Linked DNA regions of Bombyx mori. The protein of the gene in region 1 interacts with the protein of each later gene in a biochemical or structural test. Links are inferred from orthologs where the notes say so. Each region holds a gene or a part of one and is shown in the gene's direction. Other genes may lie near its edges.

Evidence for each region.
Region 2: the proteins of PLCg (region 1) and actin nucleation-promoting factor WASL form a complex in vitro, tested with the Homo sapiens proteins (2 studies listed by BioGRID). The link is inferred for Bombyx mori from reciprocal best matches to the Homo sapiens genes PLCG1 and WAS.

The regions. Positions count from the first base shown.
Region 1 is NC_085107.1:5,693,995-5,697,829, reverse strand, and holds part of PLCg (phospholipase C gamma), read left to right. Parts: coding exon 1-13; intron 14-467; coding exon 468-533; intron 534-3,519; coding exon 3,520-3,714; intron 3,715-3,835. UniProt on the Homo sapiens protein: Mediates the production of the second messenger molecules diacylglycerol (DAG) and inositol 1,4,5-trisphosphate (IP3). Plays an important role in the regulation of intracellular signaling cascades.
Region 2 is NC_085121.1:15,502,685-15,506,519, forward strand, and holds part of actin nucleation-promoting factor WASL, read left to right. Parts: intron 1-1,985; coding exon 1,986-2,120; intron 2,121-3,026; coding exon 3,027-3,146; intron 3,147-3,835. UniProt on the Homo sapiens protein: Effector protein for Rho-type GTPases that regulates actin filament reorganization via its interaction with the Arp2/3 complex. Important for efficient actin polymerization. Possible regulator of lymphocyte and platelet function.

The DNA.
Region 1 (3,835 bases):
AAGACTTGTCTCTGTAAGTGACGAGCTAACTACGTACAATAACTATATATTGCATAGATGGGTGGACGAGCTTACAGCCCACGTGGTGATAAGTGGCTAATGCCATCTTGAGACATGAGTTCAGTTTCTGTTCGGTCTCAGTTTGTACAGTGCAACGGCTGCCTCAGTTTTGAAACCGAAACGCATTACTGCATCACGGTAGAAATAGGCAGGGCGGTGGTGGTACCCACCCGTGCGGACTCACGAGACTTCCTACCACTATTAATTGGGCGAATTATTATTTTTCTGGTTTGATTTTTACTATATTCATTCACCGTGAAAGTTCACCGTGAACAATGTTAAATTATACCATGTGCGTGAAATGAAACGATTTTTGTAGCTTGAGGCCTGTATTTATTTATATTCCAATCAAAATCAATAGCTTACGTTATTTGCGAAGATGTCATATTATGTATGTTAATTTTAAGGAACCAGACGATAATACTGTCTATGGGACACCGGGATACATGGATCCCACGTCATTCACGTCCAAGGTACGTATTGCATATATTAAAACATATCGTATTCATACGTAAGATCATAAATCCATAATAATAATATTATAAATGCGAAAGAGAGTTTGTTTGTTGTACACTTTGTCACTACTCAATCTATCATCGTGAATGCAAAAGTATGCAAAGTTTCATTACATTCCATGTACAGAAAAAGACAGAGGACCTTTCATCCAGTAAAAAATATATTATACTAGTAATAGTGCTATACTAGTAGTAAGGATAGATCTTACTACATTAATGTGAATGAAACCGCTTGTAAATACTAGTATTATACACGACTTCAAAATGTTTGCATCGTCATCCAACACGGATTCACTTTCGTTTTTTTTTAAATTAAAATACCTTTAACTGTGTAATCCTGTTGCTATGGAAATGAAAAAAAAATGTGTAACAAATAAAATGCACATTTGTGTCTATTATAAAAATACGTACGTACAGGGTGTATTGGAAAGACGAAGACGAGAACAAGATTAATTATTCCGGCACTAGACCACCAAAAAGTATTTATTGCCTTAGTGTTGGACCAAGGTATAACTAGCGTAATGACAGCTACGACTATCATAATGGATTTTTCGTTGCAAGTTTCGAAGCGTTTCAAAATCCCTTCGTTTCTGTGTTTGTTAGGCAACGAAAAGTCATTTTTTTTTGAGCCCTGGACCGAACCTCAGATTACGAAGCAGACAGACTTTGAAAATATAATTCTATATTTTATAAATATAATTAGAATTTATTGCCAGGCATACATAATCTTTCAAATGGACGGTTTTATAAAATGGCATTTCATAGCTAAAAACTTATTATAATAAAACTCGACCTAAATGGAAAATTGAAAAAAAAAAAAAAACTTTATTTTGGGCATCAAGGTCACGATTTAACGCCAAAAAAATAATAACATTATTGTGTGTAAATTATTCAAGTTAATCCGTCTTCTATAGTTAGATACATGTCAAGCTAACAAAAACGTCATTAAATGCTTTTTTCGTTGTACGTAATTTAACATAAAATATGCTGAAATCGGTATCGATGTTTTTGAGACAACACGGAAGTATGCCCAATAGTTGTCTTCGTTTCAACGTCAAGGGCTTGTGCTTGGTTTGGTTTTGAGATTGATCCTCTAATTTGATACACTATAAAATAATTTTAAAATAAAGAAAAGGCTATTTTTCATTTCATATGTAGCTTAGTAATTAGTACTAATAATTACTAGTAGTATTAGTATTAGAAAAAAAACTCGCTATATAAAGCTATGGGAGGAGAGATTTATGTCCTGCACTAAACGCCTGGCAGGCGATACGGATAGCTAAACAAGGATGGTACTAATAAAAACCTGTAATTAAAAATAATATATATTATATTAATCAATTAACTAACACCAAAATTATTTGCAGAACTGTAAATGAAAAATATATATCGGATTATATATACATATATAGGTGAGACTGTAAAAAACGCATTAGGCACAGATAACACTTTCTTCGTGACAAATAGAATATTATAGTAGTTCTTTTTTTAAATTCAAAATCCAACATTTTATCGATGTTTATTTTGTATTTTATATGCTTTATTAGCGTAAGCGTCTTAAGAATTAGTATACTTTTCGTTAAATGATTATTGCTATGTAATTGTTATTAGGTTAGTACTTATACGTAAAATTAAAAATTATCTAGCATGAAGTAGTTATTCTGTTATTTTAACGGCATACTATAATAACTTCTTTTACATAAAAACTTCTCCCTAACCTGTGCAGCGATATGTAATGTGGTATATATAGCTTTTCCTAAGAAGCTGGGTAGATAGTTAATCGATTATAATATGTCAATCGTTAATTTTTTTTTGTAGTGCATTTATTCTCTATTCTTGATTTTAAAACATAACTCGCTCGCTTTGTAATAAATAGTTGTGGAAAATGTAACGATCAACATGATTGTTTTGGTAATTTTAACATTTATTCGATCGTGTTTAATTTTTGTATTAAAAATATTTAAAAATTGAGCTCTGGCCTCACTTGGTTTTAAGTGGCTATCAAAACTCATAGAAATGACAACGTCAAAGTCGCTGCTCACCATAAGACACTGAAGAGATCTCCATTTTATTGTATAATGACCCATATGTAGATGCGATCCTTTCGACCGGAAAGCAGGTCAGGTTCGGAACCGGAATTGACAGGTGATATATATCTGTGCGGCTTTAAAATACTCCCTACCCCACGTAAAAGTATGTACTTCCAGTAGTGGGCATTTCAGGGTATCGTACTACGATCAAAGCAAAATTAACGGAACTCTACAACTCGTGTTAAAATTCCATTTTAAAGTTATAAATTTAATGTTTCTGCAAATTGATAGGTTAAATGTAAGACAGCACTCTTCGATGTAAAAATAAATATGAAACATTCATTTACATTGATAGCTCTTGCTGTCTACCGTCCCGACGAACGATACGCGAATACATAGAAGACGAACATACAAACATTAATTTATAATTTTCTAGCATTTTACCTGTAGATTTAAACTGGGTTTTAGGAGACCGCTTTGGAAAACGAAAATTATGTACCTACAAAGTTGTAAATTTTATGGAGCCCGGTATAAGTGCCGCGCTCTCGCCGCGCCCGGACGTTCGTTGATCCGAGCATCAGCTGTTTTTGATTTTGTGTTTCATTGCTGGTTTTTTTCAAAGAAAAGTGATGTATTTTTTTTATGAAACAATCGTTTCATTTAGCTGTACTAACATGATGGAGCGTAAACAATGCTAATAAAACGTTTTAAAAATATGATTTCTTTAATCAGGATCGATTTTTTTTTCCGTCCCGTCATCAAAGGTGTCATTAGTTAGTACTATCGCCTGTTTTCGTTTTCGGAAGCGATCTCCTAACACCCAGTATAATATTATGTATTATGATATGACGAAATACATTTTGCAACAAATTCAGATTTGTTTGCGTTACAGAATAATATGAAAACGATTTCAGGTGACCGTTAAAGCGCTTTACGATTATCGGGCTCGTCAAGATGACGAGTTGTCCTTCTGCAAGCACGCCATCATTACAAACGTCGACAAGCCGGACGAGGGCTGGTGGCGGGGCGACTACGGCGGCAAACGTCATCACTGGTTCCCGGCCAACTACGTGCTTGAGATTGAGGTTCCACACACACCCGACGTGACCGTTAGTATTCTTTTTGTATACAATACGCAGAGGATGTTACGGAACACAGGTACGAGAGCGGCCTGTTCGAACTTCTATCTATCCTCGACTAGTATCCTAGGCAGAAGCGAATTGATTATGA
Region 2 (3,835 bases), on another chromosome or scaffold:
TTGTCTCAGGTCTTCGTTTAGTGTGGTCACACTGCACGTGACGTCACAAGACGAGCGCATTTACCGATATCACGTTTGTCATTGTTGTGCGTGCATTGTTTATTAAAAGACTCCTCATTGTACTTGTCGGATTTAAGTACGTCTATATTTATTTGTAAATACACCGTTCGTAATATTTGTATCATGTCATACATTGTCTCACAATACAGGTGATATGTTATAACACAATTTAAAGTAAAAATATTATACTATAATTGAATCAAATGGTCGAGGCTTCGGTAGGCAGCGGTTTGGCTCTACCGTCCGTGAGCGACGGTAACCACTCACCACCAGGCGGGCCGTATGCTCGTCCGCCGCCTACAAGGGCAAATAAAAATAAAAGTGAATTATTAAATAACAAATTTGATATAGGAGAGATGGACTCTACCCCGCTTTGAACTTGGCGTTGCTAGTTTTACAATGAATACGTACCTTCCGAAGTTGTTTACGGAGAAGTAGTAGAAGAGAGAAAAGTATTTATTTCCGACCGAGGAATTGTTTGAGATGATGTCGTCATCTCTTTTATAATTGCATCATCTGACACCGAAATAAGAGTTCATACCGTCCACTTGGAATTGCTGCGTTCATCGACAGTGCGTTTTGCGATGTAGCAACGGGTTTTTTTTGTGAAGGAAGGTATACTGGTGGCCTGGAGGCTTTTCCGTTTTTGTTTAATATTTATTTTATTGCTTAGATGGGTGGACGAGCTCACAGCCTACCTGGTGTTAAGTGGTTACTGGAGCCCATAGACATCTACAACGGCTGCCCTACCCTTCAGACCGAAACGCATTACTGCTTCACGGCAGAAACAGGCAGGGCGGTGGTACCTACCCGCGCGGACTCATAAGAGGTCCTACAACCAGTAAAAAACTTTCTAACACTCCGCCCGAGCGCCTCCGGAGGAGACCTAACAACTCAAGAGCAGCTTTACAAATGAAACCATGTAGTTCTGGAATGAACGCTCGGCTCTTATAACTGAGCGCTATGATATGTCTTTCTCTAAACCAAGCTCGAAAATAGTCTTCAGTCGTAGGTAGCGACTTGGCTGTATAATGCTAATGTCCATCAGAGACGATAAAATGATAAGAGAAGATAGCTCGCCTGTATATGAAGGCCATAAAACACACACACAATACAAATAAATAAGGTTTTCTTATATTTTATTTATCTTTGACTTTGACAGATCTGACGAACTTTGTTCCGTCTTAGAGGCAATAAATGAGCAGACTTGATTTTATCAGGTCAATTTTTTATTTGGATAATTAGTGTAAATTAAAAAAGCAAGTATTTTAATGATTCTTTATTGTTAATGTATTTTAGTTATTATTGTTATATTTTTATTTCTTGTTTCTTCTTTAGTCGCTTCACTCGCAATGTTTCGAATACTAGTTGCATTACGGCTTCGTCGGGAAAGATTTGATCGTGTTGGTCGCGGTATGGCTTTCTTAATGATTACTTGTCTCAGCACAATAAGCTAATAGAAACTGGAAACGAACACATCGACCGGTCAACTTCAAAATTCTACTATAATTAACCATAGACTACATTACGTTTAGCTGTCAGTTGCGTTTTGTTATTCCATATCAGTTGCGTTTTGTTATACCACGTTTTACGTCACGTACCACGGAAACGTGATAAAAGGTATCCTTGTCCTGGTTGTAAGCTACCTCCCCACCAATTTTCAGCCAAATCAGTTCAGCCGTTCTTTAGTTATAAATAGTGTAACTAACACGACTTTCTTTTATATATATAGATTTTGAGTAATCTTCGGAATAGCGACTAGAAATAACATTTTAGTGTTTTAGAAGCTTGAAAAAGTAAAAATTCAGAGATGTGAAGGAAATAGTTTCCACTTAGTACCCGTGATTGTTCTCGTGTGTTGTTGGTTGTTTGCTTTCGTAAGCCAGGATGTAAATAACGTATAAAAAACCATTCGTATTTTTCAGAAAGGAGGCAACGTGCCTTAACGGCGGCACGGGCCAGTAGCGTGGTGGAGCCGAGACAAAATGGCGTCCTACCCCCGCTCCCGGCACCGGAACCGGAACCTGCACCCGTACTCCCACCGAAAACGAATTTAGCAGGTGAAAACTACTTATAATATTATATTCCTATATTCATGATCATCTGATGTAAAGTAATGCCGACTTTTTAGCGAGGCGGGGGGAGGCGATCTTCACGCATTTCGCGTCCAAGGGGCGCGCGGGGTATGTGGGTCTTGACGGTACGCAGATTTCGGGAACAGATCGCGAGCCTACGATGTTTTTAAAGTCCTACCCACCAAACTACTCCCTTTGCACCCTCTCACGGCATGTCCGATCTTTACTCGAGCTCAGAACCCGGGCAGAGTGGTTCCCGTGGTCAACACTACAACTAGACTCGCTGCGCCACTACTAGGACGCCCGACGGACGACGGCCCGTCCCGTCGCCCGGGCGCCCGGGCGGTACCTCTGGTGCTCCGGGATACCGCACTGAAGATCCCAAGACTAAGACCCCAAGAAAAGGGCGACCTAAGTAAAGGGATTTTTTCGCTGCTATGTTGTGTGTTGTGTTAGATCAATGGCATTCTATGACATTCTAAGAAAGAAAGAAAGAAATCATTTATTCGCTAAGCATAGTGGTGGTTTTATACTTGTGATAGGACCTCTTGTGAGTCCGCACGGGTAGTTACCAACACCCTGCCTATTTCTGCCGTGAAGCAGTAATGCGTGTCGGTGTAAGGGGGGGGCAGCCGTTGTAACTATAACTGAGACCTTAGAACTTATATCTCAAGGTGGGTGGCGCATTTACGATGTAGATGTCTATGGGCTCCGGTAACCACTCAACGCCAGGTGGGCTGGGTCCACCATCTAAGCAATAAAAAAATAATGAGTTATTACATAAGTTAAAAGCAGCGTGTATGCTTTGTCATTATTTGACATGCGAATTTTAGTGCAACATCTACAATATGTATCAGAGAGTATGTGTAATAACTTGTAATGATCGCCCAGGTACGTACACACTGAAGAGCTCCGGAAAACGGAAAACGACAAGGAAATTGACTAAAGCCGACATCGGGATGCCTCACAACTTCACGCACGTTTCTCACATCGGATGGGATAAAGATAAAGGTGCGTGGATCTTTTCTTTTTCTCCTTTTTTTTTTAGGTATGGCAATTGGCTTCTTGCGACGCCATTGTTGCCAGTGTCGAGTTCATAAAAATCTTCAATTGTAAAATACATACTAATATTCTGTTATATGAAGTAAAATAGGATGAAGTTAATTGATTTGACTATTTAATCGATTGGGATAAAATTAAATGAAACAAAATTTTATTGTGTGCTTAGTGCGAGTTTTTTAACGCTCTCGATAGCATAAAAGTTAACTTTTTGTATGCAGTTATAACAGCGCCCCTAGCGGCAAACGTAGGCAAACGTTCTGTTATGGGAATTTACTCTGAGGTCGTTTTAAAAAAAGGAAACTTTTAAGATTCGAACTATTTTATTTTATTTATACAATATGGATGATATACGTAATTCTCAGAGTAACCGCGAGAGCCGCACCCGTACTCTAAGACAGTTCACTCTCTACTGACTGTTCTCCGGTCTCCTTTAAAGTCTCTACCTCGAACCGTCTAGTCAGCGGTTTGAGGGTATCAGCATTTTAGGGTTCAGTACTCTGTACATATAATATAACAGTTCCAACTGCATACTAATTGGAGTTAACTATCAGGCCATCGAGAACGTTAAAAAACTCGCACTAAGCACATTGAACATTATTTTTATAAATGACTAGCTGTAACGGTCCGCTTCGCTGGGC